4 separate regions of the Mus musculus genome follow, and all the other regions are reported to be linked to region 1. The links are microRNA targets in miRTarBase. Many come from high-throughput screens and were not tested one by one. Region 1 holds a microRNA gene; each other region holds the end of a gene's coding sequence.

Region 1 (3,078 bases):
GATACCCAGAGGCCAAACTGAAGAGGTTAAGGCACACACACACACACACACACACACACACACACACACACACACCCCACCCTAAATGCTGTGTCTGTCTCGACTTACCGTGGAAAAAGTAGGTAAGCATTATCTGGTTTTCCTGACTGGTGCGTTTGTTAACTCAAGAAAGCCTTAAGTTGGGTGCAGAGGGAACTTCCACAATCCCTGTGCTTGGGAAACTGAGGCAGGGAAATCACAAGTTCCAGAATAACATGAGTTACCCAGTAAGAGCCAGTCAGTCTTGAAAGAGCCAGGCATGCATGCTTGTGTGCATAGCTCACGGAAACAGGAGATGAACACGGCTAGCCCAAAGAGCCAGGCATGCATGCCTGTGTGCATAGCTCATGAGAGCAGGAGGTGAAGGCTAGCCCAGACTATGTAGCAAGACCCCATCTCAAAAGCCCTGAAACTTACCTCAGGTAGAATTTGGTGGGTAGGATGGATGGGTGGATGAAGGAGAAGGGAAACCGGAAAATATGTGATACTTTTTGCCCTGTGCTGGCTAAGAACTGCTCAGTGGGCTGTCTCCAGGGGGTAGGGTTTCCTGTCTGCTGACACTGTGCACTTCTGCCTTCTAGCCGATCAACAATGCTGACTTCATAGTGCCTGTAGAGATTGAGGGGACCACGCACCAGGTGAGCTGTTTGCCAGCATACACCCTGCCTCAAAGGGAAACTGCCTCTCAACCTGTTTATCATCAGCTTCCATGTTTGTTGATGGCTTGTCTCCAGATCATCCACACTTCCCTCTAGCCAACACTCCTGTCTCTATGTAGTCAGGCTGTTTGCAAGAACTGTTGGCTTTTTTAAAAATATTTTTAAAGAATTATTTGTTTTATGTATATGAGTACACTTAACTGTATTCAGACACACCAGAAGAGGGCATTGGATTCCATTAGAGATGGTTGTGAGCCACCATGTGGTTGCTGGGATTTGAACTCAGGACCTCAGAAGAGCAGTCAATGCTCTTAACCACTGAGCCATCTCTCCAGCCCAGGATAGGGTCTCTTTATTTAATTCTAGCTGACTTGGACCTCACAGAGGGCTGGAGTTAATTAAAGGCCTTCACCATTGTGTGCAGCCCCTGGCATTTTCACATCATAGTCCTAGCCATCACTGTGGCTTTTTAAATGTGCATTACTGGTTTTGCCTGCGTGTGTGTCTGTGTGAGGGTGTCGAATCCCCTGGAACCAGAGTTACAGTTGTGAGCTGCCAGGGGTTGCTGGGAATTGAACCCAGCTCCTCAATGAAGAGCATATGCTGTCCAGCCCATGCAGTCCATGCTTAGACCAGGCGAGCCTTGCTCTGTGTGCAGGGCTGTTAGGATTTGCTCCTGTGCCCTCTGGTGAAGAGCTACTGAATGTGTCTTCCCTGGCCCAGGCCCCTCCTATGACACCTTTCTGACCTCTACACTGGTTTCTGTAAGTGCTCCATATGCATCTGTCAGAGTGGCAGAGTCCAGGCTCTGCCGTGTACACCCTGCTGCCTAGGGTTAAGGACCACGAGGCATTGGTGAGAGACCATGTGCCCAGAGGCATGCTGGTCGGCCCAGGGGAGGGCCGGAGACAGTGATGCAGACATCCTAGCAAGCATGAGACCTGTTTTCAGACTGAGAAAGTTCAGCTTGAGACTGTCCTGGGTTTGTCATCGTAGCCCTCTGCCCCTTTACGAACTTCTGTACAGAGCCTCGAAGCTGTGGCTCTTTACTCCACCCATCACCCCCTGCTGTCTAGTTGAGGAAATAGAAATGTACAGAATGTATGGGGCTCTGGCATGGGCAGAAGGGGCCTGAGTGAGAGGGCTGCCTGCCATGTGGATCTGAGGAGAGCCTGGGAGGAGAGCAATGCTTGGTGAGGAAGGGGCTTGTTTGTGAGGCTTAAGAAGTGGAAGGTGATGGATAGATCCATTTGCAGCTGCATGGAGGGTTCTGCTGCTAAATGGGAGGGCTCTGCTCAGTTGGTGCTGATGTGGGCTAGGAGGGACTGGGGTGGGCACACCCCCTGTGCTGCTTTAAGGAAGTGAGTGAGTGGGCCTAAGGAACACTTGTGCAGGCTGAAGTAAGAAAGAAAGAAGAAGCAGCAGATCATAGACTGGGTGGCGAGTTAGTTGAAGAACCTTTAAAAGCGAGCAAGTCCTCGAAGCTGGTGGTGTGCACACAAACCTACGAGGGTGTGTGTTTGAAGAAGTTTGTGGTTCTTGCCAGATGGGACCTACACAAGCCGTCCTGCTGGAATCCCGTACAGAAGGCTACTGTGGAGGCTGCGGCTGGATTCAAGTAATCCAGGATAGGCTGTGTCCGTCCATGAGGCCTGTTCTTGATTACTTGTTTCTGGAGGCAGCGCATGGTCTGCCCTCAATGAAGATGGCTCCTGGGAGTGCATTCCTTCCTGCCGGGTTAGGGTTGGGCCTGTTGAGGCAGCAGAAGCCTGGTAACATGGTAGAGCTGTCCATGGTGGGGCAGAGGTCTCAGTGTCTCGACCTGGGTATCTAGGCCTGCTTGCTTTTCTGTCAGTGCACAGGCAGAGCCGGTGCTGTGTCCTTGGCCTTGTGGGGTTCCTACAGCAATCCACTCTGTCTCCCAGGTATATGTGCTCAAGAGGCCTTACGTCGATGAGTTCCTGAGACGGATGGGGGAGCTCTTCGAATGTGTTCTCTTCACTGCCAGCTTGGCCAAGGTACCTGACTGCAGGAGGGGCAGAAGGCAGGGGAGAGCCAGCCCTCAGCCTAGGCTAAAGCTTCTCCTTCTTTTCCAGTATGCTGACCCTGTGACTGATCTCCTGGACCGGTGCGGGGTGTTCCGGGCCCGCCTGTTCCGAGAGGCTTGTGTGTTCCACCAGGGCTGCTATGTCAAGGACCTCAGCCGCCTGGGAAGGGACCTGAGGAAAACTGTCATCCTGGACAACTCCCCTGCATCTTACATCTTCCACCCAGAAAATGCAGTGAGTGCTCGCATCAGGGACTGGGGTGGCTGCAGGCTGGGCCCGTGGGCTTTATCAGAGGAGTCCACAACCCCTGTGTGGCCCAGCAGCCTCCAATG
Region 2 (3,078 bases), not on the chromosome of region 1:
AACTGGATTTCTAACTTTGAAATACACACAGTTAAGCATGGTTGTTGCTGGATTCTGCAGGTGTGCGCCTCGGCCGGCTCACCCTGTCTGTGAACTTATACTGTGAACAGGAGCAATGGGTTCAGGCAGTATAAAAAGACTGTCTATGGAAAAGCAAGTTCCCGGCAGTGGCTTAGCATCTATCTGTACAGCAGGGGCGGTAAAGGACAACGATTAAGGTAGACTCTATCCCAGAAAAGAATCTACTTCCAAGCAAATAAAGGCAATACCATTACAGATTCTCTTTAATCATGCAAAGAAAGGCACAAGACAAAAGTAGAATGGTTTCAAACTGGGTGCCCACTGAAATTTAATCTTGGGAGACTTTTGAGCTATGACTTAGAAAAAAAACCCACCCAGAACCATACCCACATCATAATCAGTCTCTAAGAACTAGGGAAACTATTTTATCCCAAAATTTTTCAACTCAGGGAAGTTTTTAAAAGTCTTATTCAAAGATAGCGAAGTGAAAGGAAAAAAGACTAGGACAGGCAAATTACAAATTTCATCAATAACCAGAAATCATTTCTATGGCTCTTAGTAAGAAAACCAAGACAAGTGGCTTGGCTCTGAAGAGATACTTCCCAGCAAATATTTCCCACCTACTTTCTGAAGATGATTAAATATGGGAAAGGTTCCATAAGGTACAACAGGAAGCATCAAGTTACAGCACTGCCTGGTCAGATGAGCTGGGTCTTAAAAACCCGTTACACTACAGCTTACTCTCTCTTCTCACTCCTGTTCCCCGGCCATCGTGAAACGGATCTGAAGACAAGCATTTCTAGAGAAGGTATCTTTTTATAATTCTGTCAATACAACATTTAAAAAAAAAAAATCACCAAACTTCTACAGATAAGATTAGGCCCGAGACAAAGCATCCCTAAGTACAGAAGACAAGACACAGAGGCAGCTTTTACAACGCACGCTGTGTGCGCTGGGCTGAGATGGACCCCAGTCACTGCAGCACTCTGGTTTCTCAGAGCCTCTGGAACCTTCCGCAGCAGGCTGCAGGACGTGGTCATTTCTGTTGGCACAAAGAGAACTGCTATGCACGGGGTTTCCAGAGCTCAAATGCCTACTGCAATTTAAAACTCACAGAAAACTCTCAGGGTAAAAACATCTCCATGGTCTTGATTTTATTCACACTATTTATCCAAGTTTTTTTTTTTTTTTTTGCTACAGTAAAATAAAAACTCAAAAAATAACCAACTACACATGATGCACAGTGTCCATGGGAAAGTCCTGGTAGAGTGGGAGGGAACCAGCGCTGCATGGTACAACTGGCTGCCACCTGTCATTTAGCAGAAGGTGTCTTGCCACTGAGACTGGACTCAAAAGTGCAAAAGGAAAGCATTTTAAAAACCAAATCTAGAATTCCACTTCGTATAGTGACTCAGTTTTATTTACGCTAGTAACTAGGTAGAAAGTATACATGTGTGTCTGTGGTACAGTCAATGTGTCTTAACTCCTCCACTTCAATCTCTACAAAGTCACCGCCAAGTGATCAAGGATGGCAAACACAGGGCTTATAACCAAAAGGTATAAAAAAGTCTGCAGTCTTGCCCTAAGATACAAAAACTGAATTTTAAACAATGTCAAAACATACATGATTTTAACAGTATATGAAAAGAAGTCACACATCAAATCAAGTACAAAAATATCCAAACCACCTGTTACCAACTGCACTGTTTCCATTATTCTGCACAGTATTTAACATAGAATTTAGCAGTTTCCAAAATATTCATTATTTCAGTTGAAGTACTGCCACCTTGCAGAACAGTGAAGCAGCAGGCAGAGTGACACTGCTTTTAGTGTTTTATACAAAACCTTCTCCCTAGGAATTAAGGGAAAAATCCCTCCCCTAGGCTTTTTTTTTTTTTTTTAAATAACTAACCTTGTGCCTAGAAATATAGAAGAATTCATTTACTGTTTAACAGGGCAAAGTATACATCTTGATAGTGGTCATCCATTAGGGATTAAAAAAATTGTAATTTTAAATGGCATTTCTTTGACTGATAATTGTAAGGAATTGTCAATATGCACACAGATTAGTGTTTTGTCTTGGGGAAGAAACCCTGAAGTCTGCAAGACAGTATGAATTTAATTCACCTTCACTGTTTAACTTGCAAAAACCATTGTGAATCAAAGGTTGCTAAAAGGTTTTTAAAGGAGAGTAAAGTTGCTCTTGGTAGAGCTGGCTGGCCCAGCGCCACGTGAGCACAGTGCGTTTAATAACTCGCCCACTAAGGGGCAGGTGGCTTAACTGTGAGAACTTCTCAGCCTTACAATCAGCAGCTCTGACTCTCCTCGGCATGCAAGGCGCTCGCACACACTAAAGGGCTGAGCGCCCAGCACTGGCCGACTCCTCCATACAGAACCAGCAGGGAAGACTCAGCAAGAACTGCATCTTTCTGATCTTCAAGCACTGAGCCACACCTGAAAGTTCTAAAATAGAAAAGAAGTTTTAATTCAGTTTCTGTCTGCTAAGAGCAAGGCAGCAAACACATCTCTCAACCCTTTAGGAAAAGACAGAGCAGAACAAAATGCAATAGATCTTCAGATTATAAACACGAGTATATTTCATAGTCCACCATCCTGGAAATGGTTAGGGCGTCCGTGGTGTGAGATCTCAGTCTAAAGGCTGTGGGTCCGCAATGGGCATGGTGTGCAGGACTTCATCCAAGAGCTGCAGAGCTCGGTGAAGGTGAATCTCAATCCAGCACGGGGTTTCCTTGATGCTCTGCCTGGGGTAGTCTGGGCCCCAGCCCTTCACAAAGCTCATCCTGAGAATGCACAATCGCCGGAGGTCATCCACACCGATGCCAGCAGCAGCAGACAGACCTAACGGAAAGAAGCACAAGTGTGGAGGCTGTGAGGGCGCAGGTCCTCTCTTCCCATCCTCCCCAGTCTGCCTTCTTTGCTTATTTCCTCTCAGCATACAACTTCTCTGTCAAAAATGTCAACAGTAACCGCAGATCTAAACCTTATCACGGGTAAGTGAAAATTTGGTTATGACAGTTTATATATGGACTTTAACTA
Region 3 (3,078 bases), not on the chromosome of region 1:
CCCCACATTAAGCCCCCTTTATACCTAATAGAAATGCTGTTTTGAGCGAGGTTTTTTGTTATGGTTTTTTTTTCCTTAGTTTTGAGCGAGGTTTTAGTATGAATTCTGAGCCACACAGCAGACACACCCTTCTGGGGATGCTCAGGATCCTCTCATGCGCCTCAGCTCTTGGCTGGGGTGGGCAGGCAGCAGATACAACCCAGCGATAGAACTTTCTGGGCAGAGGTACAAGGAAGGCTAGACTTCATTCAGCACCGTCAGGTTTTCTTTTCGTGCCCTATTTGAGAGCACTCCCTAGTGCACAATAGACAAGGGCAAAGGGGTCCCGCAAATTAAGGATTAAGGTACACATTCACACCTGCCACGATGGTCTGTTTCTCTTCGATACTGTATCTCAGTTCACCTCTATCCTGTAGGGAGCAGAGGACATCCAGAGTGACTGCCCTATCACGGACCCTTACCTTAGACCCACGAGAATGGCAGAGTCCCCCTGGGTTGAGCATGAGTGTTGATGGTATGTGTAGAACATGTGTACCTTAGCTCCCTGAGCCCCATCCTGATATTTACAGCCTGAGGATTGCTTCCCTACATATGGGGACTGCTCTTGAAGAGATTGGCTAAACCTGTCTCCTTGATCCAGCAGTATACCTCGGATGTTTCCTCCTTTTTTATCTGTATACAACAGCACTGCCTCTTTGTGCTTCTCCATGGAATAAACTCTGAGTTTCTGGGTGCTGGTTTCTCCATCAATGTCCAGTCTACCCAACCCCAGCTTTCCTGTGTGTGTCTGTTTTTCATTCCCTTTCTGCCCTGGTCAGGTCGGACCCTAGAGCTGTGTGGGCGAAGGGTCTTCCCACTGTATTAAGATCAATTGATTTTCATAAACAAAAGGGATGCTGGTCTGATCACAGCTGTTATGTACATGGGCACATTCACAGTACAAGGATGAAAACTCACAGGTTCAGTTTGGAAGTATTAAGGTTACAGTTACAGGTGATCAACTTTAACACAGAAACTGCTAGACAGCAGCTTTACAATGTGTTTGTATACATCCAAGTAACCCAAGGAGACGGCACCAGCAAGACATAACAGTCTGTTACTGTCAATCATTTGAATCTACAGGAGAGAACTGAAGAGGAGAGCTGTCTGTTCCGTTAGGAGGCGGGACATCCCAGTGACAGACACTACTGAACAGTTGGCACATCTTTGCTGCCAGCTGAGCCCCTTTGAAACAATGTTTTAGGCTCTAGGAGTGGTCAACTCTAGACTAGCTTTGTAGTAAGCTCCTTGACTACATCATACTACGGAGAACAATACTACAGGGCAGCAGAAAGCTTGGATCTGAGGAGCTAGGGCTGTACTAAGTACAGCACTTGGCTAGTGGGCACAAGGCCTAGATTTCGGCAGCACCGCAAAAATGGAAAAGTAAAAGTTCAAGGGTACAAATAGTTTATACCTGTTTTTACATTACATAGATTTTACATTACACAATTCACAAAGCCATCATATATATGTGTATATGTGTGTATATATATACACACACACACACATATGTATGTGTGACATATAAATCATACATATATTTGTGCCAGTTGAATGGATGAGTTTACATTTCTCAAATGTTAGAAGGTGAGACACTGTTTCCTCCCATTACAGAGAACACCAGGCAAGTGTCTCCAGATGCAGAGACAAGTCAGGTTTTTGTCAGACTTCTCAAATACTAGTACTTTCTACAAACTTCATTTCAGAAGGCAAAATTAACAGCAAGGTCCAATGGTTCAAATGGCTGAGCTTCTTAAAATACCAAAAAAAATCACGTGCCAGTGTCTACTGGTTTCTAATGTAATAGACTGTAATGACATTTCTTCAGGGTGTACCCTATGTCAAAGTGAAATCTTTACCCCTGGCCTTCATATCACCTGTCCCCTCAAAGGACTGAAAATGAGCACTTAAATCCGTAGCATGGCAAAGAATGCATGAACAGCCACTGGGTCCCTCAGGACCACCTCACCTCTTAGTCACCTAACCACGAAGCAGTCAGGGACTTTCAGATTAAAATGCAATGTCACAGTCCAAGGGGACCTCCTTCAGACAGCACATAATCTACAGCATCACTTCTGTCTATCACAGGCCCTTCCTTGTTTTCCATGACAACACTTTAAAAATGTGGCATTTCTTATATATACAAAGTTCAATGGTAGTCCTTAAAATGGCAAACACAAATGGTTGTCTGCTATAAAGTGTGCACTCTAATCTACAGAAAAACAATGAGCACAAGCAAGAATCTGTTCAAGTCAAGACGACCACTCAATGAATACCCTGGCCTTTGACCACAGAAAGGGAGCTTAATCTTGATTGTTTCTCTGACCACCATTTATGTCACAACAGTTTCAATAAACTACAGCTTATTGAACGCTGCTTTTTATATATAGTCACCTCCATAGAAAAACTTCATCTGCAAATAGAAGGTAGAGGGTTGGTTTTTTTTTTTCCTCACAGCTATAGGCTGTAACACGGATTTCTCCAGGTATCATTGGAGAACAGAAAATATGGCACTCAATTCCAGATTCTAAGAAAACTGTCCCAGGAGCCAGTGGCCACAGCCATGCCGTCATCAGTCACACCTAAGCAGCTAACACGGTTGTCATGACCAGCAAGGACACCTACAAAGAAAGATCAATAGAGAGTTAAAACTGAAGTTTTAGAACTGCAAAAATAGTTCTGCATTATGATGCAGATGGTGATCAAAAAAGCAGTCATTCTGGGAAGACTAGTGCTAGAGCCAAGTCCAGCATATGGACACAACACACCACAAGCTATTGGAATTTTTTACATCATTTGTGAACATCTGTTTGTGTTTTCAAAATTTTAAAAGTCAGTGTTAAAAAAAAAATCGAAGACAGGGTCTCACATAGTCCAGGCTGATCTTGACCTCGCTACCCGGCCAGAAATCATCTTCAAATCCCCATCTTCCTATTTCTGCCTACAAGAGCAGGGGTGGCACCTGGTGTTTAGTAACTTCTCTATCTAGGGAGTCATGTAAAGGCAACTCCACATCTCCAGTAAGTTCGTGACAGT
Region 4 (3,078 bases), not on the chromosome of region 1:
TCCCTTCCTTCCCATCCAGGTACAATGATTTCCTCCATGACCCTCTGTCATTGTGTGAAGCCTGCAACCCAAAGCCTAATGCGGAGAATGCCATCTCTGCCCGCTCTGACCTCAACCCCGCCAATGGCTCCTACCCATTTCAGGCCCTGCATCAGCGCGCCCATGGTGGCATTGATGTGAAGGTCGGCCACCTAAGCCAGTTGTCACATGCCCCGGGGAAGGATGGATGGGACAGGTGCAGGGTCAGAGGTCAGACCTGGGCTGAAGCTGGGTCAGTTTAAGGGGATATCACTTTGGGGTCAGCTTCAGAATGGTGTTTTGAAGAAAAGTCGTGGTGAGAGTTGGGCCCTACCAGCTGAGTGTGTGCTCTCTGACCCCCCCAGGTGACCAGCTTTACCCTGGCCAAGTACATGAGCATGCTGGCGGCCAGTGGCCCCACGTGGGACCAGTGTCCTCCGTTCCAGTGGAGCAAATCGCCATTCCACAGCATGCTGCACATGGGCCAGCCCGACCTCTGGATGTTCTCACCCATCAGGGTGCCATGGGACTGAGAGAGAGTCCGCCTCCGCCTAGCTGCCTTCATTTTGTGTGGCCAGTGGGTCATACACCTGCCGTCCACCCCTCGGGCTTCTGTCTTCACTAGACTCTGGTCCTAGCGGCTTCCTTCGCAAGGACACAACCCAGTGGGCTCAGAGTTGCCTCTGTCTCTGAGCCCTCTGCCCCTTCATGGCTCATCCTCCCTGTCCCTGTCACCAGCAGGCTGGGGCTTATGCTTGGCTGTGGGCCTGGTGGGATCCGGGGCACACATTCTCCTAGTGCTGGTCCCTCAGCATATGTGTGAACTGACAGGGGACATTATGGTTGTCACTGCTGGCCTGTGGGCCCATCGCCTCAGGAGGCAGCCCTGTGCCCTTCTGGGCAGCTCTTCTAAGTGCAGGAGCTTGAGAACAAAACCAAAGTTTCTGGCTGCTTGTAGCTGGAGGGCCTTGAGTCTTCTTTCAGCAGGAGGAATGGACCGTCACCCCACACTTCTACCCCTACTCCCAGCCAAGCCTGCCCCTGGCCTCCTGGTAGGTGTCTCTGGCTGTGTGCTCCGGTCAGCGAAGCCCAGGCTGTGCTTCTGTTAAACAAGCCTTGTGGGGCGGCACCACACCCTGTCTGTCCATGGCTGTCTCCTTCCATCTGTCCTTTCTCTAGTCCACGTACCTACTGTTCACCTGCATCACCAGCCCCCTGCCCGTCCATCCCCTCTCCTGTCCACCCTACCGTCTTTTCACTCAGTCAGCGGTCCACACACCTACCCGTCCACTTGCCTGCCTTTTCATCTGAACGTCCTCACCTCTCACCCACCCATCCACCTGCCCGTCCGTCAGTCTGTCCACCCAGAACTGCACATCCCTTTTCATTTTGGTTTTGCTCTGTAACTCAGTGTGGCCTTGAACTTGAATGCCTTGTAGTCCACAGTCATCCTCTGGTTATTGTATCTGCTGGCCGCCTTCACCCTCACATGCTGGGTTTCCATGTACAGGCCGCCGTGCCTTGATTCTGCTTTTCATCAGCCCACTCATCTCTCTGTCCATTTATCCCTGTTAGTCCTTCTGCTCAGCATCTGTCTCAAGTGCTGTATTCTGGGTCCTAGCCTGGCCCAACCTGCTGACCACTAAGACCCTAAATCCTAGACCCAGAGACCCACATGAAACCAAGTCCCCTGTGTGGGGCCCAGAGAGCTCACAGCCTGTGAACCAGAGGCCCTAAGATGTGTGGGTAGCTTTACCCGAGCCAGTCCGGGCCTGCCATGTGTTCTGAGTTTCGTTGGTAGTCAGGGGTTGGTTTCCTGTCAGGTTCACTCCACCTTCCCTGCTCTGCAGATGCCTGCACGGGGTTGGTTTTCCAGACACCAGGGTGGGGCCGCTGGTGTCTCAGGATGGCCTTGTCCTGTCCCTAAGGACTTCATATTAGCATGTGGTGGCCTTGCCTGTGCATCTCCCAGCTGCTTTGCGACCCCACCCTAGATCCCTGTGTGGCTTAGCTCTGGTCCTCTCTCCTGACTTACGGATGTGTGGGTTCCACCAGTCAATCCACTGGGAGACCCAAGACCCCAGAGGGGAGCACCACTTCTCTGAGAGCCAGGGACGATGTGGCTGGGTGTAGAGGGAGACTGAACAAGGCAAGGAAGCTAACGCCTGTCTGCCCGGCACTCAGAAGATGAGGCAGGAGGATCTCCAGTTTGAGACCAGCCTGGGCTGCACATAGACCCTCATGTCAAGAACAAACAAAGCTCAAAAGATCTTTGCTCTATAAATATATATTTATTTTTTATTTACAATGGAAAAGTGCACATTATAAACACAGGTAAAGGAGGGTGGGGCCATTGTCAAGTGTATCCCACCCCACTAGGGGGTGCCGGTGACCCCTCTGAGGGAGGCCAGGGCAGCAGCAGATATCACTCGGGCAGCCCGTTCAGGCCCAGCTGCACCTTGAGTGCCTGCAGCTGCGCCAGGCTTATGTTGCTGCCGCCACACACGATGACAACCAGCGAGGCCAGTGGGGTTTGCAGCCGGCCTTCATCCTGCAGCCTGCACACCACGCGGCTGTACACAGCAGCCAGCGCCGCGCCGCACGCGGGCTCCACCAGAATCTTCTCATCGTCTACGGGGGGAGGGGGAGGCGGCTGGTAAGCTCTCAACATCTCCCTATGGCTGGAACTGCTTGTTCCTACAGCCTGTGCTAAGGGCACTCAGGCACCTGAGAAGGTCACTCCTGTGTGGCAGCAAGCTGAGATGATTAACAGCAGTGCGTGTTCTTACTCTTGTTCTCTTTGGCTATCTTCAAGGCTGGCCCCAGAGAGTTCTGCTAAAGATCATCTCCAAGTCCAGCTCATCTTGGTCCTCTCCCCTTTGATCCCAGCTACTGCTATCATGATTACCAGACTCACATTTTTGTGAGTGGCTTTTGCATTTACCAGGGACTGGCATGAGAGTCTAGGCTGAGGAGGGAGAAAGTCAAGGGGCAAAAAGATTCCACAGAACGTACCCACGAACTTCTCAAGAGCAGACACAGCCTCCTGGTCTGAGATGA

Evidence for each region. Region 1 holds the annotated microRNA mmu-miR-26a-5p (UUCAAGUAAUCCAGGAUAGGCU, at 2,312-2,333, shown strand). A microRNA usually pairs through its seed, bases 2 to 8, with sites in the 3' UTR of a target mRNA and lowers its output. Matches are read on the target gene's strand: a 7mer-m8 pairs with bases 2 to 8, a 7mer-A1 pairs with bases 2 to 7 and ends in A, and an 8mer does both.
Region 2: the mRNA of Smad4 is a reported target of mmu-miR-26a-5p. Seed matches in the 3' UTR shown: 7mer-m8 at 1,685-1,691.
Region 3: the mRNA of Gnb4 is a reported target of mmu-miR-26a-5p. Seed matches in the 3' UTR shown: 7mer-A1 at 2,289-2,295.
Region 4: miRTarBase lists Plbd2 as a target of mmu-miR-26a-5p. Seed matches in the 3' UTR shown: 7mer-A1 at 1,441-1,447.

The regions. Positions count from the first base shown.
Region 1 is chr10:126,993,232-126,996,309 of GRCm38, forward strand. It overlaps Mir26a-2 (microRNA 26a-2), which reads left to right and starts at 2,299; the gene lies at 2,299-2,382. It overlaps Ctdsp2 (CTD (carboxy-terminal domain, RNA polymerase II, polypeptide A) small phosphatase 2), which reads left to right. Exons shown (of 8, transcript NM_001113470.1): 5 at 621-677; 6 at 2,624-2,716; 7 at 2,795-2,980.
Region 2 is chr18:73,637,590-73,640,667 of GRCm38, forward strand. Smad4 (SMAD family member 4) reads right to left here. Exons shown (of 12, transcript NM_008540.3): 12 at 1-2,880. The coding sequence ends at 2,669. Among named protein-coding and RNA genes, the nearest start is that of Smad4, 65 kb to the right of the region's middle.
Region 3 is chr3:32,582,564-32,585,641 of GRCm38, forward strand. Gnb4 (guanine nucleotide binding protein (G protein), beta 4) reads right to left here. Exons shown (of 10, transcript NM_013531.5): 10 at 1-2,663. The coding sequence ends at 2,557. Among named protein-coding and RNA genes, the nearest start is that of Gnb4, 32 kb to the right of the region's middle.
Region 4 is chr5:120,483,144-120,486,221 of GRCm38, reverse strand. It overlaps Plbd2 (phospholipase B domain containing 2), which reads left to right. Exons shown (of 12, transcript NM_023625.4): 11 at 20-182; 12 at 384-2,329. The coding sequence ends at 551. Sds (serine dehydratase) reads right to left here. Exons shown (of 8, transcript NM_145565.1): 7 at 3,034-3,078; 8 at 2,317-2,649. The coding sequence ends at 2,444. Among named protein-coding and RNA genes, the nearest start is that of Sds, 8.1 kb to the right of the region's middle.